3 linked regions of the Neodiprion lecontei genome follow. The protein of the gene in region 1 purifies or fractionates together with the protein of each later gene. This does not show direct contact. Links are inferred from orthologs where the notes say so. Each region holds a gene or a part of one and is shown in the gene's direction. Other genes may lie near its edges. The genes, in order: intraflagellar transport protein 140 homolog, WD repeat-containing protein 19 and intraflagellar transport protein 122 homolog.

Evidence for each region.
Region 2: the proteins of intraflagellar transport protein 140 homolog (region 1) and WD repeat-containing protein 19 purify together in Homo sapiens (co-immunoprecipitation; 3 studies listed by BioGRID and IntAct, with this or other methods). This does not show direct contact. The link is inferred for Neodiprion lecontei from reciprocal best matches to the Homo sapiens genes IFT140 and WDR19.
Region 3: the proteins of intraflagellar transport protein 140 homolog (region 1) and intraflagellar transport protein 122 homolog purify together in Homo sapiens (affinity purification with mass spectrometry; 4 studies listed by BioGRID and IntAct, counting the BioPlex papers as one, with this or other methods). This does not show direct contact. The link is inferred for Neodiprion lecontei from reciprocal best matches to the Homo sapiens genes IFT140 and IFT122.

Annotation. Positions count from the first base shown.
Region 1 is NC_060261.1:8,579,919-8,589,987, forward strand, and holds the start of intraflagellar transport protein 140 homolog, read left to right. Parts: upstream 1-4,100; 5' UTR 4,101-4,228; coding exon 4,229-4,522; intron 4,523-4,587; coding exon 4,588-4,994; intron 4,995-5,057; coding exon 5,058-5,253; intron 5,254-5,355; coding exon 5,356-5,589; intron 5,590-5,676; coding exon 5,677-5,889; intron 5,890-5,970; coding exon 5,971-6,159; intron 6,160-7,479; coding exon 7,480-7,727; intron 7,728-7,855; coding exon 7,856-8,174; intron 8,175-8,256; coding exon 8,257-8,473; intron 8,474-8,561; coding exon 8,562-9,429; intron 9,430-9,515; coding exon 9,516-9,654; intron 9,655-9,777; coding exon 9,778-10,069. Other genes in the region: hexosaminidase D, read left to right, coding at 789-817, 910-964, 1,276-1,491, 1,670-2,018, 2,217-2,291, 2,416-2,611, 2,743-3,018, 3,088-3,174 and 1 more. UniProt on the Homo sapiens protein: Component of the IFT complex A (IFT-A), a complex required for retrograde ciliary transport and entry into cilia of G protein-coupled receptors (GPCRs).
Region 2 is NC_060265.1:8,948,575-8,958,515, forward strand, and holds the start of WD repeat-containing protein 19, read left to right. Parts: upstream 1-3,358; 5' UTR 3,359-3,569; coding exon 3,570-3,584; intron 3,585-4,118; coding exon 4,119-4,498; intron 4,499-4,668; coding exon 4,669-4,879; intron 4,880-5,209; coding exon 5,210-5,322; intron 5,323-5,432; coding exon 5,433-5,850; intron 5,851-6,158; coding exon 6,159-6,392; intron 6,393-6,459; coding exon 6,460-6,585; intron 6,586-6,702; coding exon 6,703-7,000; intron 7,001-7,631; coding exon 7,632-7,830; intron 7,831-7,909; coding exon 7,910-8,007; intron 8,008-8,277; coding exon 8,278-8,560; intron 8,561-8,720; coding exon 8,721-8,949; intron 8,950-9,038; coding exon 9,039-9,291; intron 9,292-9,363; coding exon 9,364-9,674; intron 9,675-9,787; coding exon 9,788-9,941. UniProt on the Homo sapiens protein: As component of the IFT complex A (IFT-A), a complex required for retrograde ciliary transport and entry into cilia of G protein-coupled receptors (GPCRs), it is involved in cilia function and/or assembly.
Region 3 is NC_060261.1:2,454,611-2,467,770, forward strand, and holds intraflagellar transport protein 122 homolog, read left to right. Parts: upstream 1-4,023; 5' UTR 4,024-4,402; coding exon 4,403-4,455; intron 4,456-4,706; coding exon 4,707-4,816; intron 4,817-4,957; coding exon 4,958-5,078; intron 5,079-5,166; coding exon 5,167-5,377; intron 5,378-5,441; coding exon 5,442-5,515; intron 5,516-5,593; coding exon 5,594-5,864; intron 5,865-5,941; coding exon 5,942-6,103; intron 6,104-6,183; coding exon 6,184-6,481; intron 6,482-6,568; coding exon 6,569-6,939; intron 6,940-7,029; coding exon 7,030-7,422; intron 7,423-7,513; coding exon 7,514-7,653; intron 7,654-7,722; coding exon 7,723-7,997; intron 7,998-8,070; coding exon 8,071-8,297; intron 8,298-8,381; coding exon 8,382-8,769; intron 8,770-8,938; coding exon 8,939-9,111; intron 9,112-9,213; coding exon 9,214-9,375; intron 9,376-9,488; coding exon 9,489-9,599; 3' UTR 9,600-9,630; downstream 9,631-13,160. Other genes in the region: tRNA pseudouridine synthase A, read right to left, coding at 2,262-2,480, 2,590-2,836, 2,922-3,071, 3,174-3,308, 3,447-3,560, 3,703-3,749; uncharacterized protein LOC107221624, read left to right, coding at 10,007-10,136, 10,251-10,403, 10,744-10,874, 10,953-11,085, 11,202-11,324, 11,405-11,488, 11,574-11,726, 11,791-11,922 and 1 more; prostaglandin E synthase 2, read right to left, coding at 12,476-12,838, 12,935-13,046. UniProt on the Homo sapiens protein: As a component of the IFT complex A (IFT-A), a complex required for retrograde ciliary transport and entry into cilia of G protein-coupled receptors (GPCRs), it is required in ciliogenesis and ciliary protein trafficking.

The DNA of each region.
Region 1 (10,069 bases):
TAGTGATTAATTAAGAACAAATGAATTTTGTACAAATAAAATAGCTTTGATGAAGTGACTGTATTTCGATGCGACGATTGACGATGATGATGATTTACGTCCAACTGTGTATATTAAATTATAATTTGAATAAATTTCTGGTCGCTAATTGTAAATTTTAAATTTGAACATTTTTTAATTTATTGTTATTATGGGTTCAATATTACTAAATAACGTCTGTATTTAAACTTAATTGTGCAGTTTTTTTGCATACTAGTTATTCGAAATATGAGCTTGGATAAAAAATGAATTAAAGTACACATACATTGCAGGTGATTTTAGAATTAGAAATATTTCTAATTTTGTCCAAAATAAACAACCTGTTATAATTTGATAGTAATCCGAATTGTACGAAACTCAAGTTTACTATGTAGTAGGTTTTGCTTATTTTCGCAATATCTACTACGTAATAAAGTTGAACAGGAAAGCTGACTGATTGTAGAATATCAGAAAACAAATTTACCGCCACGCTAATTTGAATCACAGATAAAACTGGCGCTGAAAGTACTCAGCTTGACACTTGAATTGAACACGTCATCAACGACGTTGTTCACCACTGTTCACCACGTGGTTATTCCCGATGTTTTCAGCTGAATATCGCGTTCAATCATTTGAGCCGCGAAATGAACAGGAATAAAACGAAATTTGATAATTATGCTGACACGCGTAAAAATTTGATGATTGGTTTAACTATGCGGACAGAGTAAAGGACTGCAAAATAATTCCATGATGATACGAATGTTTCAAAGATGGACGCCCTGACTTTTGGTTCGCACAGGTAAACATAACTCTGGCATAGATCCAATGTTTCGCAAGTTATTTCATAGATAATTCATGATTCGTTGCATTATTATGAGCCTTATGTTTCAGACTTGTTCACCTTGACCTCAAGGGCGCTCCACCCCGAGTATCTTACCTTGAAAAGGTCTGTATTGCAAGAAATATACAGATACCCTACATATGCGCAGCATTTGTTTGTTTACGTCTTCTAATTTTGACAGCTGTCAAAAGGAGGTCTTTGTTCTTTTTTTTCGCATTCTGCCCAGTAAAAGGCAAAGTCAACCAGCACTCTGAGCTGATTTAATTCATTAAACAAAACATCTTTCTCATATTTCATTTTGGGTGAAACTAAAACTGAGAAAAATTTAATTACACATATGATCGCATAATCGTCTTATATTTATCGTTGCATCTAACCTAGAGGCGATATTATCCACTCGTTTCTTATTTTGTCAGTTGTTTCCGCTGCTGCGATCATGGGGTGCTACAGGACTGCTGCTAGAATGGGAAGATACCTTCCCTTACAACCGAGAATTGACTCAAATAGGAAGCAATGGCCCAAACAGCATAGCCAACGGCTATACAATGCAAGAAGCACGACAAATATTGCAAATCGCAGGAGAATCTGGGCTAGCAGTTGTGCCGTTGGTTCAAACTTTCGGCCACATGGAGGTAAAGCTGTACTTAAAAATTTCATAGTAATAAAATTCGTATGAATATTTTATATTTACTTTGCCATTGGCTCTGAACATTCAACAACTACGGCTCAAAAAACTGAACAATATGTCAACCGTGTGTAAATTTAATTACGCCTCAACTATAAGCACAATTGAAAAATATTCTTTTCCAGTTTGTATTGAAGCATGATGAGTGGCGATCGTTACGAGAAGTTGAGCTGTTTCCAAGTTCGATGTGTCCTTCAAACCCAGCTACATTACCGCTGGTGAAGTCTTTGATACGTCAAATAGTGTCCTTTCATCCTGACATACAATATTTGCATATAGGAGCTGACGAGGTCTGGCACATGGGGTTATGTTCAGTCTGTATAAAAAGAGCCACTTCCAGCAAACATGGGAAGTCCGCGTTATTCTTGGAACATGTTTTAGCTGTCGCGCAACATATACAAGAGACATATCCGTATTTAAAAGTTATCATTTGGGACGATATGTTGAGAAACATAGACGTACAGGTCTTAAATGGTGCGTACGTATCTAAGATATAAATACTACTTTATTTACCTAGTTTGTTAGTATTCAACGTCATGAGAAAAATTTTAAGCCAATTATCATCAATACAGAACCTTCTATTACAGAATCATTAGCATGCTTTGAGTTTATCTTGTGTTTAGCATAGACAATGTGTAATATCCTCTACTTAATATACTTTTATCATTTCAGAACATTATATTGGAAAATATGTTGAACCAATGATATGGCATTATAATTCCAGAGAGACTTTTTGTTTGCCAGTAGGTTAGTACTTTTCGAATGATGTATGTAGAGCCGATAGCAAATTTCCTGAATGTTTTGAATCTATTTATTGTGAGTTAAATAACATTGTAAGCATTACACAGACACTTATGTAATCAACTTTCAGGTTTATGGGACAAATATAGTGTTATATTTTCAAATATCTGGGCTGCAACAGCTTTTAAAGGTGCTACCGGATCCTGTCAACACATACCCGTGATTCAACATCATATAAGTAACCACGAACGATGGTTAGAAGAGTTGAGTACTCATGTCAACAAAGTTTGTGAATTCCGTGGAACTGCATTCACCGGATGGTCGAGGCATGTGCCGTTTTGCTTATTTTATTATCACCTATATATATGAATAATATCAGTCGATTGTTTTTCTTTACTTGTTCACCACCAAGACTATAGTTAAAATTATGCTGAACAGTCTGTGTAATGTATTTCAGATATGATCACTATGCCACAATGTGCGAGCTCCTGCCAACAGCAATACCATCTCTGGTGATGTGCTTAAAAGTCTGGCTGCACGGATATTCCGAAGAAAGACACCTAGAAGTAGCTAAAAGCTTGGGCTATGTAGACCATCCACTCCACATAGTGCCGCAACAGCGACCAGCTCCCATACCAAACAAATTGTTATTCCCTGGATGGCAGCTTGCAGTAGGAATCGAATGGTTCCTTAACTTCAGAACCAAGTTTCACCATGTCGTTGATAGCGATCAGTAAGGGCAGAATATTTGTACTTGTACATTATCAAGGTCTGTTCTAAAAATATGCCAATTCCTCAACAGAATAGCAACATGGATGAATCCTTGGCAAATTGCAAACAACTATACAAATCCTATGCAATTGGGGAGTTTGGTGACGGCTTTGAGCGAGTCAGTATTGTTTGCCTAAGTATTTTAGTGCACATTTTCCAACTGGTGTTAAGTTCAATCGAAAGCACTCAATGTATTTTGGATGTGACGTATTAGTTCTCTATGTTTTCATAAAATTTCAGTTTGTTGTTGGAATTATCATCGCTGGAGGGCTATATCCGAGTTCAAATGGAAGTTATTTTGTTTCAACCGACCCTGGAAGAATGGACTGGTACACATATTTATCCCCTGAAGAATAGATTGAAACAACTAAAACAAGATGCAGAGAATCAGTTGAAACACGGCTGCAGGGTGTGAAGATTAATTGTACCTCTTGACGAATTTTATTGGAATTGGGCAACACAATCACTTGAGGTGCTTCAAAGTAAAAAGACAACCAAATATCAAATTCATTCAATGAATTTTAGCGGCTAATAAGTTGTACAGAATTAATTAAAACTGGCCGAATCAATGCTTGAACGTGATATATTATAAGTATTAAACGTGCCATGTAATTATGAGAGGGGTAATAAACTGGATTTGTAATTAAGAAATATGCCACCGAGTTTGCTGAACATAATCATAAACAAACGATAGCACAGTATTTCGATATGCAAGGGTGTCAAAATTATATCGTCAATCTTAGACCTGCATATTTTTCTGGAATAAAAGTAGGCAGACTTTCGAACTTCTAAAATCTTTTTATATCCTTTGATGTGTCTGTCAAATTTTAGATCAATCTTTCGAAAATGCCCACAAACTTGTAGCAAATACTCGGTGAACTAACTCAATTCTAGTCTGTTAATTTCATATCGTAATGGTTATACGAAAAACAATGACAATATCGAATGTATGTACATACATACATACATTCATGTATACATTCATATACTCATACATTAATTTATTAGCTGTCAAGAAAACACACAATAAAATATGAAAATGTATAAATTGGAGAAATTAAATGAATTCAGAAAGTTTAAGCTTAATTCAAGCATTTGATAAAATAATGTAATTAAAAGTGCCTATCATTTGGAGTACATTTATATGTTTTATGGAGTATTAGGTATTAGAAATGTCCAGACCAAGGGAACGCGATGAACAGGAGGCACTCAAGCTGGATGAGCAGTTCAAGGATTCTTTGGCTCGAGTTAGACCTTACATTTTAGCCCTCACAGCGCCTGAAGATGTGCAGCTCTGCCGGCTTTGGTTGGATAAACTGAGCTATGCCTCCACGCAACGTGCACTCAGGAATGAGTATCTGATGGAACTATGCTGTCAAGTGGAATCTGGACATGTAGGTGGGATGTTTAGCCAACCGCCGCCAAATGGACCTCTGCCAGTGTTAAGGAGATCGTATACTCCAATGGTACAGTATCTGAAGTGAAGTGGTTTAAAACAGAGTGTGACAAAGAATATTTGAACGAAATTTAGGTACACGGAAGTTCCTCGTGGAGCGAGTTATCAGATGCGAGCACAATCCCATATTGCGGATGGCCAAAGAATTATGCAAAGAGCATTCAATGCCAGTTCACCAGGAGTAAAATACCAAACCAAAAACGTGACACTGATTCGACCAGTACTGGTCGTTGCGGTCACATCACAAAGAATATCAGTGCATCTCGATGCTACGAGGGAAGTAAAGCGGACAAAAATCAAATCGCAATTTACGAACAAAGGATAGAGACCTTGACCACTATTGTGAAAGAACTGCAGATACAAAATGAACGTTTAAATCAAGAACTAAATCGTTTGCAACAAAATTCTACTGCAAAGGAAGTGCCTCACCTTCACGCTACTATCAAACAATTATCGGCAGAAATTGGAACGTTGAAAGCCAAGTGGGTAACAAAATCCGGTAATAAGCTATGTCTAATATGAATCATCAATTTTCTCATCTCTAGACTAATGGAAGTAAAAAAAATGAAGGATTCTCTTGAGGCAAGCAATGAGGAAGCCCTCCTGCAATGTAAGCAAAGTATGGATGAAAAAATTACAGAGTTGAATATGCAACTGCAAGAATTCCAATGTAAGAATAGTACCTTGGAAAATAATATTGTTGAGCTGACTGCCAATTTGGAAAAAATTACTAGGGCAAAGGTACGACTGCGTATTACTCTTTGTTGGCAAGTAGTGACAAGCTAACAGAATTTCTAGTTCTATTTCAAAATCTACAATGTATACATGATGTTTGAATCAAAGGATGAAGAACTGTGTGCAGTAGAAAGTAGTTGCTCTGAAAAATTGGAAGCTGCACGACAGCAGCACGAACACTTAATCAAACAGAAGGATGAGGAACTGCAAAAGAAAGATACAGTGATCAGTCGGAAAGAGGAAGAATTGGCATTGATTGAGTTAAATAAAAATGCTGAAATTGAAAAACTGAAAACGGAGATTGATGGGCTACAGAAGAACTTGGAGGCAAAAAAAGATGAAGTATGTTCGCAGTTCATGAATTTTTTATCTGAATCATACGTTTCTTATGTTTCAATAACGCCGCACAATGACCGTATTTTTTCACAGGAAGCTAAATTGAAAGCTATTGTTACTGAGCAGTGCTCAACAATCCAGCGCGAATTTAATAAAATGAGGGCAAATATGGAAGCGGCGAATCAAAAGCAGAATCAAAACCTTATCAATAAAGTGGCCAGTTTAAAAAAAGGCATTTTAAAATTGGAAAAAACTAAAGAACGAATGAGCCATGAATATGAGAAGCGCATTTATCATATTTTAAAGGTGCATATTATTTCCGAAATACATTTTACCCTCTTTTGAGATATTTTTTACAAGTTGCCTACACAATTATTTGCATATCAGGATAAAGAAAACGAAGTTAAAGCCTTGCAGCTACAACTCCAGGGTCAGCGTAGTGAATTATCGATGTCACTGAGTTCGGAAAAACAGTGCGAGCTAGACAGTCTAGTTGAAAGCTTGGAAGAACGTTACAGATCACTGTTGGCTGCCGCAGATGCGAGTGCTGGCAACCAAAGGCAAAATTATCTCAAGGTAAAATGTAATAGTGATTTTCACGCTTGTATAAAATAATATATTCTCCTGTTTGCTTACGAAAATTTATGATTCCTTTCAGAAAATGAGGGTGCTAGAATCAGAGCCCGCGTGTTTTACCTAAGTACTTTAAATGTCGTCGGTTGATATTGTAATTCATTTTTGAAGGTAAATTTGTTTGTATCGTGAAATTCTTATCAACATTTTATAATAAACGAAATGCTATATTTTAACTGAAATTGAAATTCGACACCGAGTAAATGAATATAAAGATATTTCAAAAGGTTGGAAAAAATTAAACTTCAACATACATAAATAAGAATTTACTATTTGCAATTTTTGTTAAAATACATATAACTAAATAAGTTGAATGTTCTTTATTTTGGGAAATGTATGATGCATTCTAAATGAATCGCTTGTTGACAGTTAGGTGACCCAAATGACCCAAATTTTCTTCCTTGCAGTGAAAATCCGCCATGCGCGTTTTCGATCAAATAGGAAACTAGTAGAATTCTAGAAAAATCAAGTAAAAAAGAACCGAGGGAACTCTTGGTTTAAGAAAAAAAAAACTGCTAAATAAATCTGTCGATCTGTTGAATAATTAACGAATTTTAATCCCGTATACGTGCTCAATTGTAACAAAACTTGACTAACTATTTCTACGTCAAGTGTTTGTTTACACGAAATGTCAAACGATCGATACACAATTGATTTTGCTATGAATTCGTTATCGAGAAACAACCAAAGCGAGCTTAGAACGTTTGAAAAACCGTAAATTTTGTCATTGATATCAGAGCTTCTAGACCGAATCAGTCGATATTAGGCGCCGGTTGTGATCTAACCTATCGTAGTTTCACGAAAATGCTTACATTTAGTGTTACATCTGATACTGAAATAATTTCAGACCCTCGTTTGCCTTGAGCCGATTTGGGTAATTCAAACGCCACGATTAAATTGGAGAGCATTTCATAATGTCGCTGTATTTTGATACTCGAGTACAAAATCCTGAGACTGCTTCTATTAGTACATACGCTGCATGGCATCCGAACTATCCGCTGTTAGCTGTCGCTGCTTATTCGCAAGACAAAGGAGGGTTTGTTACAATTTACGATGACTTGGGCGAGCCTCTGCAGGATGTAGAATCACCCGCGCACTCTGTCGCCCAAGTCACCGCCATTGGGTGGCATCATGATAGACGTTGGCTAGCTGCTGGATGGGAAAGTGGGGAACTTCGGGTTGGTATAAACCAGCCAATATTATTATTGCAGTCCGTAGTATAATATGCTTTAAATAATTATAAACCCTCATCTTGTTATTCAGGTTTGGCCAGGTGATTCTGGGGCGAATGAATTTAACATTATCGTCACGCCACATCGAGATCCTATTACAATATTGGAGTGGAGCCAGCATGGTGGACGACTTGTGTCCGCTGATACAGCTGGCTCTTTGATAGGATGGAAAATAGACCCAAGAGGACAGCTTCTAATGGTGTTTCACCATGAATTAAAAGATTCTTTCACTCACATAGCGTTCAAAGTCGTTCCATCGAAGCCAGTTATTGATATTAAGTATGTAACGCAATTATTTCCCATAAAGTTGAAGATATTTACTTTGTTTCTAGTGTTTCTTGTAATCTCAAGAAAGCAGTGACTGTACTCTTTACCTCGAATATAACTGTGGTATTATAATATTATAGTGGCCTGGCGAAGGCAGCAGTAGCTGGTGACGAAAGGGCGTTAGATCTTTTTAGTTCTTGGCGACCAAGAACGGCAGCTCCCATTGCAGTTACAACGCAAAGAGATAATCACGCTTTTTACATCGGAACTATGAATGGGGTGGTATATTTTGTTGATAGTCAAGGGCAATGTATTGAAGTACTGAACACGGATGGTGCTACTTTGCATTGTTTGCTACACCATCAATCGCGAGACTCTGTAGTCATGATGACGGAAGGGCTGAATATTGGGCATTTTCAAGCAGATCCTATCACTGGTCGCCTCACCGAGCTCACCAAAGTAAGGAATCGTTCTTCATCTCGTAGCAAAATTTATTCGCTATCAAATGATGTAAAATTTTTCAAAAACTGACAACTTTCAGGTGAAACTAAGTGGCAAGACCGACATGTCTCGATCCGGTCCTGCTCTTTGTTGGGCAGGTACAAATACTCTGGCTGTATTAACAGGGGAACTAGCTATCAGATGCTGGGATCTCCATACCGGAGATACTTATGTCTTATCACCACCAGACACCAGTAATGGAAACATTGCAACGCCTCAAGAGATCTGCACGAGTCTATCGTACTGCAAAAATAATGGTATTGAATTCAATGAACTAATAAATATAACAAATTTTTTTTGTAATTCTTTGTCTCCTTGGACCTATATTCTCAATTCTTGTTCCAGAAACCCTAGCAGCTGGTACAAATTTGGGAACAATTTATCTCTGGAAACATAAAAATGCTTCAGATGCAGAGGATAACGGCTGGCCAGCAATTCCAGAATCCTGTACAATTCATGGCACAGTAAAACAGCTCGCGTGGGGTGCCACAATACTTAGAAATCCTCTTCTGGTTGTCAATTGTATAACGAACGTTTTCATTTTGCGACAGCAGCCAATGTGCGCTGCTTACAATGATAATATATGCGCCAGCCAGTTGGCACCCAAGCAAATCCTGCTGGAAACGCATGGTCAAAATTGTGTTCTGAAAACTGACCTGCAGGTACAGGTTGTAGCGGTGAATAAAGATTATGTTGCCGTTTCTTCTGGGAGACAAATTGCCGTTTATAAATTGAGCAGGGAAAATTCCATATCCACTACATTCGTCGGATCCTTCAATTGCGACACGGAGAAAATACTGATTTATGAAAGTACTCTAATTGTGCTGACGCCGCTCGTCATTCAACTGAGATCTATAGAAGGCAGTCTAACTCAAACGCTGCCTACATCCCCTGAAGAGGGTGAACCAATTACAATGGAGCTAACTAGCCGATATCTGACAGTTGCTTCACTGAATGGGATTCTTAAAATTTGGGACGTGAGCAAGAGAGAAGCCAAATTGTACACAAGGGCTAAAGCTGTTTTTGAAGCGATTGATGATTTTGCCGAAATCATTGAAGCTAGGTGCAACTCTGACTGCAGATGCGTTTCAATCACTGTTGCAATGGCTAATTTAATGCCTAGTTCGATTTTTTATGTTTGGGATATCGAAAGCGATCAGATCTATGAATATAATTTTGCTGATCCCGAAGATGGGCATGAAGAATCTCCTACGTAAGTTGTCGCACCTGACTATAGCAAAGAGAGCTGAGTCGCTTTTTTTTCAAGCTTCTACCTTATTTTATTGTAATTATTCTTAGAGCAATCCAGTGCAAAGGTCGATTAGTGACTTCTCATTGTTGGGACGATGATGATCCAAGACTTTTAGTTTGCCGTGCACAAAAGTTGGATTCTGCGAACTCAAGACCTCCATCACAAATAATACCCACCCCTGCTCAGGTACGACTACTGTATTCAAGATTCGTTAAACATTTGTGTCATCCTAAAATTTCCTATTTAGTACAATTACGAGTTTGTTATTTGTATTTTACGTAAAGTTAACGCAATTTATATCGATTCCAGGAACCATTAACAAGTGTTGTGTTGATAACAATGTTTGCAACATCAGATCATGGGATTGTAGTACAAGATGTACGTTCAATAAAAGATGAAAACTGCAGATTGTTGGGAGTTCGCACTCCGCATATAATGATTTTGAATTCAGAAGTAACATTTGACAATGAGAGTAAAGTACGTTATATAGTAATGCGCGATTTTGAAGAACTTGGCGTATGTGATACGGTGACAAAAAAAGCAATCCTAGATTTTAGTTTCTATATAAGTATAGCCAACATGGACGAAGCCTTCAAAGCGA
Region 2 (9,941 bases), on another chromosome or scaffold:
ATGTGAAAATCCTAAATTTTTACTCTGCGCAGTTATTCCAAACAATATGAAAAAAGACACAGAAAAAAAAAATAAATAATGATAAGTAATATTATTATATAACTAAGCAATTTAAAGTATTGTAGATTTTTACCAGCAAATCTGTAGCTTGCAGTAGTTTCTGAATTGAGTGGCCTTCATTTTTGAAAAAAAAAAAAAACAAAAAAATAACATTTAACAGTAAAAAAAAGTGTATCAAATAAACTGAGAAGTTAACTCTTAAGTGAAAACCATGCAGAGTTCACATATTGTTAGAGTCAAGACATTTTTAATACTTTAATGTGAGTTGTATGAAAAATTTAGGTGGTTCCGTTTTATTTTGTTGTCTAATGTTCTTTTTTTTTCTTAGTTAATTAGCCAGCAGACTATAATTCACTTCAAATATTGCTAAACTGACCATTGGTGCCATATTAATCAATATTAACTATACTCTATATCTGATAAATATATAGTTTCTAATAATTTTCCATAGCAGTTGTATTCTGTTGGGGTGCCATAGTTAGTACACGTCATATTTTGTTCTTTCTCAAGTCTAACTTACATGGAACGAAGTTGGCGAAACTTTCACAATATAAAACACGAAGTTAAATGTTAATTTATGAAAATTTGAATAAATAGGTGGTTGGCAGGAAGCTAGAATCAGAACCACGGGTGAGTGTAAATATCTATCTCGTATATTTACTTTATAACTGCTGTTATTGCACCATTTTTTAGCACTCCTGTAATTTCTATGTTTGAAATGAGTGAAACGAGATAGATGAAAAAATCGACCAAGGAATGAAATACACTTGCTATAATACCCAAAAAATTATATATGTACAAAATTCAATTTTGATACAGTGAATCTGCCAACTGCCAAGATATTAAGCATGCATCGAGTTATTTGACCCTGATTGCATGGATTTGAATTATATTTTAGACGAAATAAATTTGTAAATACGAAAGAATCTCATGTATTTAAAAAGGATTATTTTATTTTCCAGCAAAGTGCTTACTACGTTAAGTTAAGTTTTCTTTGCACGAGCTTAATTGTCGCTGTTTCAGCGTTAAACTATACAGTGACAAAGTGAATAATTATTTAATAAAATTAATATATATATATGTATATATGTGTATATATTAATATATATATATATATATATATATATACACATACATACTATATTTATTGAATAAATGCGTGATGGTAGCCTGAACTCAAAATTCTGAATTGGAATCAAATCGAAGTTTTGAAACTGTTTCAATTTTACCACAAGTTTCTAAATACGCAGGGTAGAATTGTTTTTGTTAGTTCAAAGATAGTGTGATCGACTTGAAGTAATATTGAAACAAAGCTGAAAACGGCATCAGAATTTTGTAGCCTCAGGTTCCATTGCAATATACTTAGGTATGTATTCTTAATATGTGAAAAAGTGTCTCACTGTATTTGTATCATAGATCACAATGTTAGGGTTGTCATTTCATGGTCACCGCGCAAATTATAATATCCATATAAAACTCTATAAGATGGTATCTCACCATACGATTTTAGTATATAATTTTTTATTTCTTTTAGTTAACCAAAGATGTTATACATTACTCTCTGTAATTGATCATGAATCATTGTACTGTACTGATATATTGTGTGCAATCATAATTTGTGAAACATTATAATTTTTACTTCGCTGGATGAAATCAATAAAAAATCCGCATTAGATACTCAATTTCTAAGATATTCCTGTTCCAATATCGAGTTTGGATTATGCGTGAAGATAAATTATTGAAATAATAAAACTACAATAATTCCATCTCTCATGTGATATGAAATAAAACAAATAATTGCAAAACGGGAAAACGTACTTTCGGATCAAAAGGTACCAGTGTGTCTGTCGATGATACCAATTCTAACGATAATTAGAGTATGCACTTGGACCTATTTCTACTCAGAAGTTATCTTCATAGTCTGTATACCAATTTGTTGAGAGTATTTACTATCCCTTCAGCTTTGAGTAACATGTAGAATTATTAATTGTTGCATAAACGCGTTGCATATTGTATATCAAGTATTTACTGCCGTATTATTGAATAATATCAAAATTGTGTATTGCATTCATTTGTAACATGTAGACACGATCAATAACAAATTCAAATGATAATATACCTAATTATTGTACCTATAGATGATTTTCTTCTTTCACAAACTCACTATCAATAAGTGATTGAATTAAATCATATAATAAAAGTACGATCGAGAAGTCAAAAGTACGTAGAATAAAATTAAGCCTTCCCCTTTCATCGAATCCTCATTATCACTGAATTATCGAGTAATCAACATATTTGAGCAATAGTATGTAATCCAATGTGCTAAAATAGCAATTCATCAGTGTTCAATAGAAAGGATGATCTATAAGTCTTGCATTATAGGAAAAATATGATCACAATCGCATATCATTGATAAAGGGAAAATTTAACGACCGTTTCAAATGTATATATCATATATTGTGAGAACTGAAAGTATAATTGCATTACAATCCACCCTAAGATGGAACATGATGGACATTGTCAAAAAAGTGCTGAAATTTAACAGCAAATGTTTGAAAGAATAATATTTCTGTAAAGTTCCAGCAATACCATAATAAAAGTCGTATCTGAAACGCTCATCGATGTCAGCCCTCTCTAAAAATGGGTTCTTACTAAAATTCAAACAAATTTAGTCATTCTCAAAGAATAATGTCTTCATGAGATTTTGGCAAAAGTTTCAAGATCGTTCAAAGAAATAACTAATCTGCACAGAACATCTTGAACAAAAATTCATTTAAAACTGTTTATTTGCACAATCCGTACATGAAATTAAACGAATTAAAAAAATTCTAGATTTTTAGCAAGGTTTCAGGCCAAATATCTATTTCGAAAACCGTTTGTTTCGAATGTGGCCGTGCTGAATCAAATACATTCGAATGAGATTAAATGAGATGCCAGATGTTAGTGCTACTTGGCGTAAATACGAAATCTCTTTACGGCGTTCCGAAGGCGTGATCTAGGACCCTATATTCTATAGTCACATACATTCATCATAAAATTATTTTATTTTGTTAAATATTAATGTATTCGTGTAATCTTCAGCAGCAGTTTTGATTTTCCACATGCAAACGTCAAACTTTCGTGAATACTGTCTGTTAGATCGCCGCCATTATTGTTTACCTCATCCTCACCGACGCATGAGGTCCCTGGCGGATTTCCGTCGTACTAAGACATAATAACCACAGAGCTCAACACCGGACCACCTCTTATTCTTACACCGTGGCAGAAACACACCTATACAGTTTCACACGCTAGTTTAAATCTCGATCTCCCTGTTTGCGGCCTTGCATGCGACGCGTCCAAACGCGATACGTAATAAACAACATGGAGATTGTAGTGACATTCAGTTTGAAAATGTGTCAAATAAATCGATATCAGTGTAATGAGTTGATGCTAACATAAACAATCATGACTTCTGTCCCATGTATTAGTTATTAGTAAAGATTCAAGTTGTTTGCCATTTTGCAAGAATGGCATCAGATAAGGTAGGTTATGAATTAATGTCAAACATCAAACTATTACGTTACTTAATTAAAACTAAAGCTCAACAATACGCTTCAAGCAGATAATGAAGAGCTTCATTTATATACATTTTAATTACAAATTCTCACCCCTGTGCTGTTACCTAAACATTTCTTGATGAGGTAAAATATGTTTTTTAAAATCACCTGAATATTGTGTTTTTTTTCTTAATCCATCGATTGTCAAGTATAGATGTTTGCAAATTGAAAATTAACTGTAAAATTAGCACCTGAGTTTTTAATGCTTTCTATATCTAGTCACTATTTTTCCACCAAAGTTCCAAATTTTTATTCTCATATCAGTTCTCTTACTTGAGTTTTACGTGTACACAACTCACTTTAGTTTACACTAGCTTTGTGTGTGTCCGCAAATCGTGATATCTATTTTTGCTTTCGAGTTCGTAAACAAAATTTATGTATATTGGCGACATCTCACAGTAAAACAGTTCTTTCTCATCTCTGCGTATTGTGAATTGAATCGATTACTTCTGTGCACAGGTTTTATACCGCTTGGACCAACCGCATGGTCCTGGAAACGTGTACATTGCTTGGCGCCCTGGCAACGGTACATATTTAGCTACAACTGGTTGCGATTCCGCAGTTGTGATATACAACCGCCAAGGGGAAATACAAGACCGTATTCAACTACCTGGTTTATGTACGGGCATGGGTTGGGATGCCGACGGAGATTTATTGGCTATGATTTCAAACGGATCATCTGCTATTACCTTGTGGGATGCAACGACAGGAAAAAAATCCCAAATAGACACGGGACTAAGAGATAGTTTAACTTGCATGATTTGGTCGAAAAAGAACTGCACTCTTGCAGTGGGTACGCAAAAAGGAAACCTAGCGCTTTACGATCATATTAATGCTAAGTGCGTGACCTTTTCTACATAAAATAGAACAGTCATTATCAGTATATAGATAGCTTTCCAATTATATTGCACACCCTCGATGATTTAAAACTTTATGGATAGGAAAACATTCTCTCATTTCCAATTTATATTGATAAGATGTTACAGATATATCAAATTTTCTTTTTCAGACGCATTCCTATTCTAGGTAAGCACAAAAAGAAAATTGTTTGCGGCGCTTGGTCATTGGAGGGCCTCCTTGCTTTGGCAAGTGAAGATAAGGTATTATCGATCAGTACGTGCGAAGGTGATACACGTAGGGAAATAACAATACAAGGAGAGCCATCCGACCTTCAATTTAGTGAAATGAAAATGGACCAGAGAATCGGCGGTGAAAACACAGTATGCTATCTATTTGATATACAATTTCAAAGAAATTATTAGTTAAAAAAGACTCGATTTTATATTAGAATGCTTTTATCACAACCTGATCCCTTTATAAGATTCGTGTCTCTCAAATCTATTTAAGAAACTGTGAAATTTAGTTTATTCTTGGGGTACAGAAGGTGGGTGATTTGTAATTCAATTGTTGAATCATATCTTCAGTTATTGATAAAAAAAATCAGGTGAAAATTGCTCATAGCAGTAAAATTAATTGATGTATGTATGATATTGGTAAAACGAGCAATTAAAAGTACGAAGCAATTAATAATCAACCGTATTATTTAACAGGTATCGCTCGTCGTCAGCAAAACTACATTATTTTTATACAATGTTTTGGATCCAGACAATCCCATTGAATTGGCGTTTCAAAAGCGCTATGGTCAAATCGTAACTCACAAGTGGTGAGTTCATTATGAAAAATGCATACGTTACTACAATATATCTGGTATTTGATCACAGAAAACGAAAAAATTTAATATCTATATCGCGTATTTTATAAAATGTGAATCAGGTATGGCGATGGTTACATATTGGTTGGTTTCGAGGCTGGCTTTCTAATAGCAATATCAACGCATATCAAAGAAGTTGGACAAGAGTTATTTCAAATCAAAAATCATCGAGATTCTTTAAATGATATTGCACTGAACAATATCGCTGGAAAACTTGTAACATGTGGCGACAATACGTTGAAAGTACACAGTATACAAAATTTAGAAGAAACCAATAAAGTGATAACTTTGGCAGGAGAGACAGGCATCAGTCACGTGGAATGGTCATCCGATGGTAGTATGTTAGCCGCCGCGACGCACAATGGAAACATTTTAATTTATTTATTGCAATTACCAAAAATAACCAGCGTATGTGGAAATAGAATTGCCATTTTAACAAGCCTGACTGAAGTGGTTGTACATTTATATATGCTTGATAAGGTACGTAAACTGTGTGCAAATAATATGGTTAATAATTGGGTGCAAAAATAAGCTGAAAAATATATTAACAATGACAAAAAAAGGGATTCAATCCAATTATTTGTACAATTTTATGTTAAGTACCAAAGTTGATTGGGTAAGATTAGGATGTTTTAAAAAGAAATTACACACCTGTAGCTCCCCATCTGGTATTTCATATCCAGTTTGTATCAGTATAACCATGCTTAAAATAAATGTGACGTTACGAAATATTCATAGATATATTATTATCCGAATATGGAAATAATGACACAAATGAATATTTTCAGAGTAAACCAACACCGCAGACAATCAATACCCTGATAGAACCATCTGTAATGGCTGTCGGTCCTTTGCATTTAGCAGCAGCTTTGAATAACAGAGTATTATTTTGGAATTTAACAAAATTCAATTATGATCACCCTGTACATTTTGAAAGGGATTACTTAGGGACAGTCGAGAGTATATGCCTGAATCAAACTTTTGTTTCCGTTCTGTTTGATGGAAAGCTTCAATTACACACTGTGAGTTTACATTGTGTATGCAAAATGTAAGAGATAAAGAATTAAAATCTTGGCGGTTTTATTTCAGATAGAAACGGAACAGGACTCGGCAAACGGTGCAACTGAATCAAAAATATTTCCACAAACTAACACTTTGGATTCTAAAATAACGTGCCATGCTTTGTCGCCCGACTTTTTAGTTTACGGAAATGATGTAAGACTTTATAGAAGACTCAAATATAAATGCGTAATTTTACATACTCAATAAACCATATTTTTCGAGTTTTTCAAAAATCGATTCGATCTACTAATTAAATGACATGTTTTACAGATGGGACGGATAGTATATTTCTACTTGGAGGCGTTTGATCAATCTAGCGAAGTCACACACAATAGTGGGATCAAACAAATTTATCTAGATGCGAATGGAACACAGCTGTCTTTTGTAGATGAAAAATATGATGCATATGTTTACGATCCGATAAACGAAAACATTATTCAAATACCAGAATGTCCAGACTCAATAGAAGGCATTATATGGGATCAAAATATTTTTGAGCGTGGCGTATTCGCAGTATACAATCAATCCATTATCGTCACTTATATTTTTGTGAAATATCATATAGAAGGTATGCATAATTATTAAAATGGTTGACACCAGCCATGAAGATGTCAGAGCGTAAAAGAGTGCCTCAGGGACATGGTTTAGCACTTGCAGTGAAGTTGAGAGTAGCGGCAAGCAATTCACACAAGTTCAACAACAACGTGACACATTGAAAACTATTGTATTTAGTTTGGTATGGTGAAGCGATACCTTTACAGGTTTTACAATAGGAACAGGAACGAAAATATGTAAACTGTTTTTCAAATTCAAATTCGGAAAATATTTAACGTATAGCCTGAGACCTTTTAAATTCGTTGAAAAGAAATTATATCCCTTTATAGAATTCAAGTTTTTAATGTCTGCAGTCGTTTCAACTTTTTCTAGATCTAGAAACTGCAAAGGTACAAAAACACCTGATCCATTCTTACTGTCATTGCAATGCAGCTATTTAGTCTGGTTTCTCGTTTTTTAAGTTTCGAAAATCAATTTTGCGATATTCTTCGAATTGCTCAACCCACCATCAACTCTGTTAGGCAAAGTTCGACTAACTTGACTATTGAAAATTTCGATTGAGAGATTAACTAGCACTCTCCCTATTCACTTGTTCCAAGTTTGCAAAATAACAATATTATACGAACAACGTTATTATTTTTCAGGAAGCAAAGTAGTGAAAGTCTCTCAAACAAAATTACCTGTGGAAACTTTACCAATGCTGATGTATTCTGGTGAAGTAACATTAAGTACAGCTGGTAGTAGATTAACGCAACTAACGTTATCATCACACGAAGAAATCGGTAATATTGTTGATACGAAAAGAATAGAAGAAATTTTAGCAAATCACCTCGCATGTAGAAGGTTTGCATTGTACATCTATATATCTATTCTCGAGTTTTTAGAACCTTCACAGCGAAGTGACTATTCTTTTTTTGAGTAGGTTCAAACATGCCTGGGACGCATGTGTCAAATTGAATGATCGTGAATGCTGGCAATCTTTGGGAACAAGTGCATTGTCTAATTTGAACATAGAATTTGGTGAGCTCAAGTCATATTTATATTCACATAGAGCCTTATTTTGTAGCAAATCAACAAATTATTTTGTATATTGGTTCTGCATTTGTAGAATTATTTTGTCAGCCGTGCATATATATGCAAGACATACGACGTCTCTACCGAAATCTTAGATTTTCATTAATTTCTTATGGACAGAAATATCATTACTCATTAAACATAGTTTTCCCGTTTGAAATGAAACGGTATAATGAGTGGTAGAATTGTTCTGTATTCAATGATAATCGTTTCCAGCATTACGAGTTTATAGACACGTAGAAGATGTGTCAACTGTGTGGTCCCTGCAAAAGTTAGAGAACATAGATGAACTTGCATTATTATGCGGCCACACATCAACCTTACTGGGGGACTACAATCAAGCTGAAAAGTTCTTCTTACGCTCCTCCCAACCGGTTGAAGCTTTGAATTTACGAAGAGATTTGATGCAATGGGAACAAGCTCTCAATTTAGCACAGAAATTAAAGCCAGAAGAGATTCCATTTATAGCTAGAGAATATGCTCAGCAATTGGAATTTACGTAGGTCTTTTTGAAATTCCACGTGGTACATGCCATAGCTGATCCATATAACAACATAAATGACTATCATAAATTTCAGCAATTGAAAGTCTTTTAAGTAGAACAAAGATAATTGTCAGATACGCTGTGGGACGTAACCTGTTCAGATTTATTATTGCAGAGGGAATTATCCAAAAGCTTTAGCTAATTATGAACGAGGATTGGTCGATAGTAACATTCAGTCGACTTTGGCCTTTCAAAATATCAATCATAGGAGTCAATGTCTTGCGGGCATCGCAAGAATGTCTATAAGATGTGGAGACAGTAGAAAAGGTGTCAGCATAGCCATGGATGTGGACAGTCCACGGTCTCTAAGAAAAGAGTGTGCAGAAATTTTAGAAATAATGAAGGTATTTTTCACATTACCCTATTCTATAGTATGTTTGGATTTTAGCTTTCAACTCATTAATGTTTATACGAAGCCTTTTTATAATTATAGCAATTCAGTGAAGCTGCAGTTTTGTATGAAAAATCCGAATATTTTGATAAAGCTGCTTCAGCATATATAAAACTAAAAAACTGGCACAAGGTTGGTCAACTTTTGCCGCAAATATCATCTCCGAAAATTCACATTCAATTTGCTAAAGCTAAAGAACTTGAAGGAAAATATGAAGAAGCTGCAAAGGCATATGAAACTGCAAAGGATTTTGATAATATAATTAGAATCAACTTGGACCATTTGAATAATCCTGGTAATATTTGTGTATCATCTTAATTATTAAATAAGAATTGACTGATAGTAATGCAATATCATGAATTTGCAGCTAGAAGCGTTGAAATTGTTCAACAGACAAAGAGTATTGAAGGTGCTAAAATGGTAGCCAGATTTTTTCAAAGGATGAACGACTATAATTCTGCCATTAAATTTCTGATTCTTTCTAACTGTCACGACGAGGCTTTCCAGCTGGCAAATCAACATGGAAAAATGGAACTCTACGGAGATATTTTAGTTACCACACTTGACAATGACAATGTCAGAATAGAAGATTTCAAAAGCCTTGCGATTCATTTTGAATCACAAAGAAATAGTTTATTAGCTGGGAAGTATTATTTTCATGCGAAGGAATATCAGAAGGTATGATTAAGAATTTTTCTGTCTTTTTTTTGTCAATTGATATGTCTAATTTGTTCATTTGTAAACACACTTTATTGTGCGTTCCAATCTGAGTATAACTTTTTATATTTTAGGCCTTAAAACATTTGCTAAAAGCTGCTCAACTAGCAGCTGATGACGACGCAGCTCTTACATTATCAATAGATACTGTAGCATCATCAAAAGATGAAAAATTAGCAAATCAACTTATAGACTTTTTGTTAGGTGGTGACGGATTACCAAAGGATC
Region 3 (13,160 bases), about 6.1 Mb from region 1:
TATCCTTACAACAATGAGACGTAAAAAGGCACGGAAGAAAAAAGTTATATATATATATATATATATAACTCATATCCTGTATTGTCGATTTGAGTAACTTCTATGTTGATATGAAAAGCAAGGATTTTCTCCAATACGGATCACTTTAAAAATACGAAAACTGCTTTGGGAACATAATCTTTATAAGACCTTTCAATTTAGTAATTGATTGACAACCCAAACTAACTATTATAACAAGATGTGTCCGGTTGTAACTGGCGTTGTTAACAAATAAGTAATTACTCTACATTCAAATAGAGTATACGATACTGTTCAGTGTGTGAATTTTTATTTATTCAATTTTGTTTTACAACAACAACAACAATAACATTCAACTTTGGTGTATGATATGCAAAATCACATATACCAATGTATGAGGCCAACTAGTTAAGAAAACTATTCGGTTCAAGTGCCTTGTCTACTTTCTTCAAAGACAGCTCATTTTCAATTGTTGGAGGAATGTGAATATTAGGTTTATGTATATGATATTGATAATAATCATTGTATGATTAACCATGTGTAACCAGATGAATATTGCATATATACCACTGTCAAGAGACGAGCAAAAAAAAAATGACAGCTAATAATCATCGATTAAAGAATTACCAAACACAGCACACTGAAATTTTTACTACTATATTTTTCAGATTTTCAGCAACTTTTATAAAAAGTCTACTTGGAATCAACAATCTTAATTAATGCACGTTTTATCAATGCATAATGCATATATTAACTATATATACGTATAAATATTGCATACATACATACGTACTATACATACACATTCAATTAATAAAATGGCTCATTTAATTTTTAGCCAATCATTATATAGGCAGCTATGAATGAAAAATTACTTTTTTTTTTAATAAACAAGAAGTAAGATTTGGTTTCAGACCAATACCTATAGGTAGACATACATGCGCCTGGTCCTAAGGGCGACGGCAATTCGATAAACACGAGGACGAGGCTTGATTTCCGCGCGAAGCGCTTTGCTTTGAAATTCACAATAGGAAGGTACTATTCAGATTCTGTCGCATAATTTGGTCGTTTTATTCTTACTGAATTTACATTTGATATTTAATATACAAACGATAGGCGTGTGTGACATAAAGAAACAAACCGTCCAAGTGAAATTAGAAAAGTCTGCAAATATTAAAAGTGAATTATGTAGCATATAGCCGAAAAAAGGCGTGGTAATAAACATACGAAATTCATTCAATTTTGATAAATATTACGTGCGGAGAACGGTGACTTGTGTTGATTTTTTTTCTGTTCTTAAGAGATTTCTGGATTGGATAATATTTTTGTTTAACAAATGCTCAAGTTTTGTGAATCCATTTGCGTTTAATGTGTATTAATAATATCGACTATTTTTGGCTGTACAAACACAGCATATTTCAATAATACAATAATTACGAAAATTCATGCATTGTTTCTTTCTATAGTTACAGCAAATTTAGACTTGTAAGAGAATATCCACATTATTTACCACTCGCTACAACAATGATGTAAAATCAGAGAATTCCAAAACTTTCAATTGCTTGACAAATCCGTCATTTGGCCTTATGCATTCCCTAACAGATTTCACCTCCTGATAAGCTTGATCGTATGATAGATTTTTTTTAACCATTAAATAACCTATCACAACGGAAGCTGATCGAGATACACCCGCGTTACAGTGTATAAAAACGCCCTGACCTCCTTTTTCACGCATTATTCTCAGGCAGGTTTTTAATGCCTCTGAAATTTTAGCTTCCGGAATATCCATCAAATCTATAAAGTAATAATGAATATCTTTAAATACAATTTCCAGCTTTATACCAATACTTATAATGTGCCGTATCCCATGGTTTTCTAATATATTTATATCAGCTGCTGGATCTTGAGAGCCAAAGTATAAACCAGGCTCCACCATAGCCATTTGTAGATCGGGTTTTGTATCAACGATGAATGGTAGTCCTTTGTCTACTAATCTCATCTCGCTTCCTAAAATTTCGTACTTTTCACCCAGCATGTTAGTTACTACAGTATTACAGTGTTTTAGCTCCTTTTTCTTAGCTGTTAAAAGGGAGCTCAGACTCATGACGGAGGATTAATTAAACAGCAGCAACGTAACTATCACCACTTTTAAGAATTAGTGATTGTTAACTGCTATTTAAATTTTTTATTATTTAGGTAAAAAATGTAAAATATCGACTATCACTACGTAAAATGATGTTCAGTTAATTAACAGCTACAGATGATTGATCTTCGCAAATAATATTCTTTTTTAAGTCCAACGGGTCGTAGCCTACCTCGCATAAATAGAGAGCGTACGGTGGCAATACTTGAACACGCGAGTCCCAGTTATGACGTGACGGAACTTGTAACATACACCTAATATCTCTTTCCGTAATTTTTCCTAGTCCTAGTGTGATCAGGGTTCCGACCATTCGACGAACCTGCCAAGTTAAATATTGAAAGAGCCATATTAATTATTATTATGAAAATAGGACAAGATAGGGGAACGTAGTGTTCGATTGTCTGACCCATACAAATGATGATCATTACCTGATTATAAAGAAAAGCTCTACCCCCACACCTGAAATCCCAGTAATCGAACTGTGTGGAAAGGGGATCATCAATCATTAAAGGCTGACCCTTCTCCACAGTGAAGTAATCAAGTTGCCGGACATAAACAACCTTTTTATTTTGATACTTGTTCTTTATTTTTCCAGCAAATGTTTGAAAATCTTTAGGTCCGAGGAAAAGCTGAGTTCCCCTTTTTACTCGTTCCGCATCGAAGGGACCAGTATTACTGAAAACGGACAATAGTATTTTATTATACAGCTGAAATTTACTGATAAGTAATTTTTGGATAAAAATCTGTTATAGTTGCGTACCCAAGAAGTGCAAAACATCGATACAGCTCACTGACTGGTATATCCTGATAACATTCTTTCTTAGGAACCATGAGACGATACAAATATGATCGAGACTTGGCTGAATGTCTGGCATGAAAGTCTGTGCTGACTTGGTAACAGGAAGTGATTCTGGGTCGTTAAATTTGATACGTGTCTTTGAAACAGGTAAATAAATTTTAGATCGATACAATGTTGACCAAGATTTGCATAACAGTTAATAAATACACTGACCTGATCGCATGACCATTCTTAGCAAAAGTCTTATTTAGTCTGTGCTTCATATATTGCGTATTGTATGACTCGTTCTTTGGATGAATCAAGTCGATGTGGGCTGTTGTTGACAGAGCATGAACGCCGCTATCGGTTCTGTGAGAATTGCAGTGGGTGTAAAAATTAGGAAATTCTTGAGCCGTGTTCGATTATACTCAATTTTCAACCGCCCCATCGATTTCTTTAATACTCATATTATGAATATGTTTACAACATATAAGCAGCAATTAAAACCTGCTGGAAACTTGAAGAATTGGTTCAGATAGACTTCGGGGTTTAATGGAGTCGGCCAATGCTTCTTCAATAGTGCCTTGAATTGTGCGTATGGACTCTTGTCTTTGCATTCCACTGCAATTGTTCATGTATATTGTGTGAAAATTAAACAAATTAATTAGGTTCGACTAAATTTTACCTACTGTTATAATATTAGTATAAAGCAAGACTGTAATATACAACAAAATATACTAAATCTTGTATAAAAGACGCGTACCTGAAGTGGGTGCCAATATAATTCATGTATAATAAGTATCTTTTCATTTCTTACAGCTAAATCAGTGCTAAGTGATATTAATAATCGAGTAAGCTGAGAAGGCGTCGTATTTGTAGAATTCGGCATGTGGCACGTGAAATTTCCTAACCTAACCCGACTAATTTCTGTTAGGTTAAGGTTGAGTCCATAAATGTTGACAGGTCTGAAGTTAGTAACGTTAACGTAAAAAAACATCATGGAATAAATCGTAGTACAATTTTAGAACGACTTTCAAGGAGTTGACTTTTCAGTATATGAACATATTTTATTTGTTATGATTTAATAGCTGAATTTCAGTCAATCCTAAGGGTGCGAAGTAAACATGCATCGTTAAAGCAACGTTACTAAGTTCAACCTCATAAATGTTGAGACTTTGAGACTAGTATTGTAGAGTGAGGTTAGAACGCCACAGAAATCTGGATCACGTTGCCCCGGTAACCGGTTTAATTTGCGAAGTGTCAAAAATCAAAACAAACTACTGATTCGACCCAGTAGCGTGCGCTTATTAGACGTAAATAGCAATGTATATATGCATTTGGGTAGACTCAAGTGGTTAACGGTTCTTGAACCTAAATTACAATGACAATAGGCTGCTAAATTCATTGCTAGTGAACGAATTAGAGAATAGAGGCATCCTTTTTATTACACTGAAGTTATTAAAATGAGATCTCATCCTACATGGGTTGATAAAGTTCAAGATAAAACAGACCAATGGTAAGTGATCAATAACAGCATAAATTTATATACACGGCAAACAATTGAACAAACAATTATGAGGTATCTCAGTATTTCACTGTTATATGCAAAGTTTGTTTAATCTGTATGCATACTCTTGTGTATACAGCATTCAAATGAAAACCAAAGTTTGCATAGTATTTTCCACATGCAAACGCATTCATAAACAGTTTTTCCTTCTTCTTTCTTAATCCTCATTATTGAATTGATTGTTCCCAAATTTATTTCAGCATCTATGATCTCTGCTTCAACCCAGATGGAACCCAATTAATAGTCGCTGCTGGCAGTCAAGTCCTTGTCTACGAAACCAATGATGGTGCGCTTGTACAACCACTCAAAGGTATATTATCCCTATAATTTATTGCTCAATATAACACAGATCATGCCCTTCCTTTTCCACTATTATACCAGATTGTGCAGCATTTTAATTAGTCAACTAAACTAGATTACAAATCACGATTAATTCAAATCTACATTTTAGGACACAAAGATGTCGTCTATTGCGTTTGCTACGCGAGAGATGGAAAGAAGTTTGCGTCTGGTAGTGCAGACAAAAGCGTTATTATATGGACTTCCAAGCTCGAAGGAATATTAAAATACTCGTAAGACATTACTAAAGCTTTTTACGCCGGTTCGTTTTTACGTAAGCCTTTGTATGTGCCAATGAATAATGCAAAGCAAATTTTTTAGCCATAGTGAAGCTGTTCAAGCGATGCAATTTAATCCTGTCTCGCACCAGTTGCTCAGCTGTGCACTTTCCGACATCGCATTTTGGTCCACTGAACAGAAGGCTGTGCAGAAGCTGAAGTCTGGAGGAAGAGTAAATTGCTGTGCTTGGACAAAGGATGGACAGTACTTGGCCATTGGACTTGCGCTGGGATATGTTTCTATCAGAAATAAGGTTCGTCCATTAATTATCTCAGATTTTTAATTGAAACGTAATAATGTTGAAAGATTGTTTCCAGAACGGAGAAGAAAAGACTCGAATTGATCGTGCAGGGGGAACGCCAATCTGGAGTTTGTCTTGGAGCCCATTGAAGTAAGCTGAAATATTTCTGGAACATTCTTCTCACTAAAGAATCATTGGAAGTGTCAATTTTATTTTTACCGACAACAGGGACGATTCTGTGGACGTGTTATGCGTCGCTGATTGGGGCGGCGGTCTTTCCTTCTACACTCTGGCTGGAAAAACAGTGAGCAGGGACAGGTCGCTGAATTTCATTCCACTGAATGTAGCCTACTTTCCTGACGGACAATACATTCTTGTAGCTGGCAGCAATAAACGCTGTTTATTAATGACCCATGACGGCATTCAGCTGGCTTCGATTGGTGATACTTTTTCATCCTGGGTATGGAGTTGCGCCGTTCATCCAGGATCCTCACACGTCGTGCGTTCAATTCTATTTCTCAATCCCATTGAAATTTGCAAATAGATTTACAGTGGCTAACATCTTTTGTGTCCCAGGCCATTGGTTGTCAAGATGGAACAATAACGTATTCTCAATTGTCCTGGAATACTGTTCACGGCTTGTACGGAGACCGATATGCATATCGAGAAAATATGACTGATGTTATAATCCAGCACCTGGTTACAAATCAAAAAGTTCGAATTAAGTGCAAAGATTTGGTAAGCCGTACTTCAAGTTTTTTTCATTATTCCTACGTCTCCAACCTGGATCGAATGAAATTGCACGATTGTTATTTCAGGTCTGTAGAATTGCAGTTTATCGAGATAGACTCGCTGTGCAATTACCTGAACGAGTGATCATATATGAACCTTCGGGAAACAGCGAGGGAATGCACTATCGCATCAGGGACAAACTTCCTCAGTCCTTGAATTGCAATTTGTTAGTTGTAACCACAAACCATTTGGTACTGTGCCTAGACAAACGACTGCAGAGCCTAACTTTTACTGGTATTATTGAAAGAGAGTGGATTCTCGATGGCGTTATTACCTATATAAAAGTCGCCGGTGGTCCATCAGGTCAAGAATGCATCATTGCAGGTTGAATTCATTTTTACGCTTACCAGATTGATATTAGCCTAACAGTAATTAATAATGAATAATAAACTTGTCAATATTATATTTCAGGATTGAAAACCGGATACGTTTCAAAGATATATCTCGACAATCCGTTTCCAGCTCAGCTGGCAAAAGTTGAAGGTGCTATACACTGTCTAGATATTAGCCCACTCAAAGAAAAGTTAGCCGTAGTAAGCGACACGGGTTTGCTTACGGTGTTTGATCTAAATACAGAAGAAATATTACGAGAAATCCAAGATGTTACAAGCGTTGCATTCAATTCCGTGTTTGAGGATATGATGTGCTACTCAGGGAACGATTACTTGGCTGTAAAAGTCGCTGATTTTAACGAATACAAACAAAAATTTTCCGGCTTTGTTGTTGGGCATAATGGGTCCAAGTTGTACTGTTTAAACGGAGCGGCGATACTGACGGTAGAGGTATGGTTCCAAATATGTAACTCGCAAAACCTCTTTTTAACTTGTTAGGCTAAACTAGTAACAGTGACTAAAGATGACAATGAATTTCAGGTACCAATGTCATCATCTATGTATCAGTACCTAGAAAGAGGAATGTTTAAAGAAGCTTTTGCAATAGCTTGTTTAGGCGTAGCTGAAGGTGATTGGCTCGCTTTGGGGACTGCTGCTCTGGATCACTTAGAACTGAACGTAGCATACGCGGCGTTTTCGCGTATTAAAAAATTACGTTATATCGATATCGTTTCTGAAGTTGAGGAAAAATTGAATTCTGGGGAATGGGGTCGAGAAGCTTGCATGGCTACTGCGGCCGCGGCAATGGGAAAACTTCGAGAAGCTGCAAGACTGTATCAGAAAGCTGGACTTCAACAATACGCTCTTAATATGTATTCAGATTTGAGAATGTTTGATATAGCTCAAGAATTTATCACCAGTGGTAACACTCAGGTACATGAAAGACAATTTTAATTTTTTTTGCTCTAATCTCATTTTACAAAATTTAGGAATTTTAGCCAATGATCTTATGTCTACATCTCAGGACCGAACAATTTTACTGAGGCGAAGAGCTGAGTGGGCAAAAAGTTTGGGAGAACCTCGAGCAGCTGCAGAAATGTTCCTCACTGCTGGAGATGTTCAACGAGCCATTAATATCATTGCTGAATATGGTTGGATCGACATGTGTGTATTAGCTGCCTAATTTAAAGTCCAACAATTTTCTTTTCTTATACATTGATCTTAACAATTCAGGCTCATCAAAGTTGGAAGACAACTGGATAAGGCCGAGAGAGACAGTTTGTCTATGATAGCTAAAAAACTGAGACAGTTAGGCGCGACGCATGGCGCTGCTGAAATATTCAGTCGATTAGGAGATGATCCTGACGTCGCTGATGTTTTGATAGACGCACAAGCATGGCCTGAGGCGTTCGAACTGGCGGAAAGAAATCCAAAACTAAAATCTCGCGTATATGGACCATATGCAAGATGGTTAGCTGAAACTGGTCGTTTTTCTGAAGCTCAAGAAGGTACGATACGAAATTGTTCTCTGTTTGATTTCTCGTTAATAATTAAATATTTCAACTGATTTTATATGGGCAGCATTTCAAATGGCTGGTCAACCTGAGGAATCGATATCTGTTCTCACACTGTTAGCCAAAAATGCTGTGGCTGAAAAAAGATTCCGCGATGCTTCGTACTTCTATTGGATCCTTTCACAACTCAGCCTCGATTTGAGCAAGCGTACCGACGAAATAATGGCAACTTTTCAAATATATTATGATAAAGCTGATATTTACTACGCATATAACGAAGTTTACAAATATTTGGTGAGTTGTAATTCATTTGTTGATGACTAATCAGTACAATAATCGTAGGATGTCTTCTTACAATGTTATACCTTCATGTTTCAGGAAGAACCATTCACCTCATTGATGCCGGAGGCTTTGTTCAATATATCTCGATTTTTGCTAATGAAAACTCAAGATATACAAGTCGAAGGAGTATCACAGTTCACCATAACTTATACACTGATTAAGCAAGCGCGTATTCTCGGTGCCCATAAATTGGTAACACAGCTCTTTGAGCGATTACGGGGTATGAAAATTCCTGCAAGTCTATTATCGCAAGTGGAGGTCTCAACTTTGGCAGCTAGGGCTTATCCTTACAGCGATCCTGAAGAACTCCTACCTCTTTGCTACCGCTGTTCTACCTTCAATTCACTTCTACCTTCCAACAACATTTTTGGAAATAAATGTGTTCAGTGCGGACTTAAATTTCAGCATTCATTCGTCATGTTTGGTAAGTTCAAGTCAAAAGGATACTTTATTCGTAAATACTTTCAAACTGTAGATGGGGGAAATAAACAGAGAGACCAATTCCACTAGAAATCGTCGATTATTATTTTGTATATTCATTCCGTCAGCGCAATATTCTTCTTATTTAATGTGAATACCTCTTGCCTATCCAGAAATATTACCTATAGTTGAATTTGAGTTGGAAGAAGGAATCACTGACGAAGAAGCCAAAAGATTAATCGAAGAGCCAAGACCTCTCTCTGATAGTTCTTTGATCAGTGATAATCAACTCACCATACCTACGCCCGTTGGCGACCTGTTTACAGCTCGCTTGATACGATACGAGGTATATATCACAATTCTACAAACAATTTATATATATACTCTCTTGTCGTTCGTAGCTGCAATTATTTTTCAGAAATATTACACAAATTTTCAATGTTCGCAGGATAAGACAGGCGAATCAAGAATTACCGTTGGTCGAGGTGTTTTAGCAAGTATAGAACCGTCCAGCGTACTAATTGCACACTGGCCAAAACCCTTCAAGACCAGATATTTCAGAAATCTTTTGCCGGATCTTCAAATAACTTTGTGCAAATCATGTTTAAAGGTACCGTTAACTTGGGGCTTATTTGTTAGTGCCCGAATTCTTACGAGCCACTAAAGATGCTTTGAAGAAGTATTGTAATTAATATAACGAGAAGTGTGTTTATGATTTTTCAGTTATTCCATTCAGATGACTACGAATTGGCAATATTGCGTCACGGCCACTGTCCGTTCTGTAGAAGTTCACAGTTACCTAGAGCAGAACAAATTACAAGACACGCAACGTGAAAAGGAATATCTATAGAAAACAAGTCACACCTCATAGGAATAAAGAAATGATCAATCTATTTATTTATCGACTGTTAGCAAATTAATTTCAGCTCCCTTTGTTGTTATAAATTTTAAACAATTATGCATATCACGCTATTTATTGTTTGATAACGTCAATGACCAGTTCACAGTAATATATCATAGTATTGAAAAATTCAGTAATAGTTATAGAATGAATAAGTAAACGTATACCTAGCGGTAAAATAAGTATAGTCACAGTTATCCAAGAAAGAAATTACAGTTGTTGGAAATTATCAAGCACATGATAATTGCTCCAACAGCTAAGTAAACAGCACTCCGTTACCGAGATCTCATAGTGGCGAGTGATATCCTACCTTTTCAATCAGTTGTACGGAACTGTAAAGATGTTCAGCGTGTTGCTTGCAGTGATTTTTGCCGTCGCAACGATAGCATCTGGTCAGAGTGCTGCCTGGGATCAATCCCTGGGAGATGCAACGACATTTCAAGATGCTCCATTGGAGCGTCAAGGAAAATGTAAGTTCGATCATTACATAGTTGAGTTTCATCTCTCAGGGATAATTTTACCCCAAAAAGTGATACAATCACGTCGATACTAATGTATTCACGTTATTTTATTGTTTCGTATAGTTTTTCCGCTCTTCAGTGTCATCAGATTTGCTAATACTCAATGTACTGGAAGCAATAATCTGAATGGTACGTGCTTTACAAGACGTGAATGTTCCAATTACGCCGGGACTGCTTCTGGGACTTGTGCCAACAACCTCGGCGTTTGTTGTGTTTGTAAGTATAACAATAAATTCCTTAACTGATCACTATCCGTCAGATTGGATTAGACAAAAGCGTGAAAAAGTGCTCTGAAATTTTTTAAATCAATCAAGTGTTGTGCATCTGTCCTAGGGTGATATTCGTAGCAGATTGTACGTTAATATTTCGATAATGAGTTTAATAAAAGTAGACAGAAGGATAAGATGTTAACTTTTGACTTTAATAAATGTTTAGAGCAAAGAAATTCTATAAAAAAATGATTTTGGCGCTTTCTTCATATACCACAGATGCTTCGCTTCTCTTATGATTCTTGATGAAATTCCCCATTTTTAAATTAAATAATATCGTTTCACAGTTGTGAGAACATGCGGTTCTACTACGAACATGAACAATACGTATTTCATAAATCCCGATTATCCAACAACGTATACTGGTGGAGATCGATGCACAATTGTCGTTCGTCCCTGCAATTCTCATATTTGTCAGGTGAGCAGGAATGCATTGCAAAAACTTTAATGACCTTATCATCTCAGATATTTAAACAATGGTTTCTACTGCACATAGTTGCGTTTGGATTTCTTGGATTTCTCCCTAGCCCAACCAGACGGAACTGGTGTGTGTGACTTAGACTTTTTGACAGTAACTGGTGGAGCAACCCTCGTTCCCAGGATTTGTGGAGAAAATACCAATCAACACGGTATAGTTTAATGTGAAAAAAATGTTGAGTCTTTATTTGACATTTATCACGTGCAAAAATTCGAAAAATATGCATACTTAAGCTAGATACTAAAATATTTATTATTCTGTCTACAGTTTATGTAGATTTCGATGGACCAGCTCCTATTACGATATCGATCGATACTGACGTGAACTACGTATTTGATCGCCGTTGGAATATCAGGATACAGCAGATAGCCTGCGATTCTGTATGGCGTGGTACGTATCACAGTATTTGCCAATATTCTTTTCAAATCACATGAAAATAGTTGAGCATTATTACATACATTTCATTTCAGCTCCGAGTGGATGTCTGCAATATTATACTACAACTACTGGCACTGTAACAAGCTTCAATTACGGTACCGTAGTGAATCCAAGATGTAAGTAAAATATCATACTATTTCGTTATTGAAATAATTCTCGTTCACTGTAAAATCAGCGATTTTTAACACTTCAAAATTTCAGCTCCACTGGTCGGTACTCGTCAACTAGTGAATTTGAATTACGGTGTTTGTGTGAGAATGACTGTGGGCTATTGTGCGATTCAATGGTCACAGGACAACACCCTGTCATTCACTGTTTCTGGAGATACAGACGGTCTTGACACAACAATAATTGGTAAGTTTTTCAAAAGAAAAAATCTGTACACAACGCAGTAACTTCAACTTTCATCATTCAACAGGGACAGACTTGGCTGCAGTTACTGGAACAGATTGTACGGCAGATTTTGTTATAATACCAAATCCATTTGATACAACAGGTACCGCATTAGATGTTGATCGTTTCTGTGGAAACGGTTTCGTAACTGTTATCAGTAAGTATCGTCACCCAAATTATGGTAGAATAGAATGTCGCATTTTCGTCAATTCATACTATTAAAGGATTGGTTACGAAATAAAGATTTTTTGCTATATTGATACTCATAAGAGCGCTTTTTTTTTTATAGGTTCTTCAAAACCGTTTGTTCTTTACGTCATTACAAACGGAGATGAAACTGGTGATGTTCTAAACAGAGGATTTATTCTAGACTATCAACAAATAGCTTGTCCAATATTCTAAACCAAAGCAACCATATTTAATGCCTAATATGAAAGTGTTTAATGCATTCCTTTGTTAGTTGGACCGTGTTCAAAGATAAATTTTTTAGGGTGGCTAATTTTCTCTAGACACAGTCCAATATTGTGAATAAATGTGATGTACTTAATTTATCTATAGTGAATAACAATTACATCTAATGAGCAATGGCCATCTCATTTTTAGTTTGTGATTGGTACAAAGCTTGACCCCATATGTTTATACTATAATTAATATTTATTAATTAACAAATAAGTAAATACATACACTTGTGAATTTATAATAATGACAATTTAATACTTGACATATTGTCGTCCGTGATTCGAATCAATTTTTTCACGCATAGCATTAAACCATACGCCAACTTTTGTGTGGTCTAATAAATCTCTGAATGCTTCACATCCCTCGATACTTTTTAAAATACCGTAGACAGCTAAGTCTGAGAAATCTGGGTCTGATCCACCCATGAATTGCGTTCCTTTAACACTAATGCCATTCAACCAATGGTTTACTTCGTCATACAGTGACTGCCTAACGTCATCTTTGAGACTGTGTCTTTTTTTGAGCCTTTTCGATATCAGCCACATTGCATAGGCTCCCACATTGATCATGAGCAGGCGTTCCCACATTGGAAAGTACTCCTCCCATCTACCAACCTGTTGGTTTTGCTCATGGTTTATCATTCGGTAACTTTAACCTACACAAAGATTATTTTCACAGAGCGTAGTGATCGCACAACAGTTTTTACTTACGTCGGAAAACCAGTTGAACGCTTGACGTGCTTCTGTTGTTGTTCTGTAAACGTTTGGAGATAAAACGTGAACTAGGACATCATCAGCCCATTTTCGCCACTTCCGTTCCTCTCTATCATTGAACAGAAAAAAGCAAAATACTGTATTTGGAAAATGAGACAGTTTTATTCTGCATGAAAAGCGAAAATATTCGAAGCGATGACAATAATGATCAGGAAAAGATTAG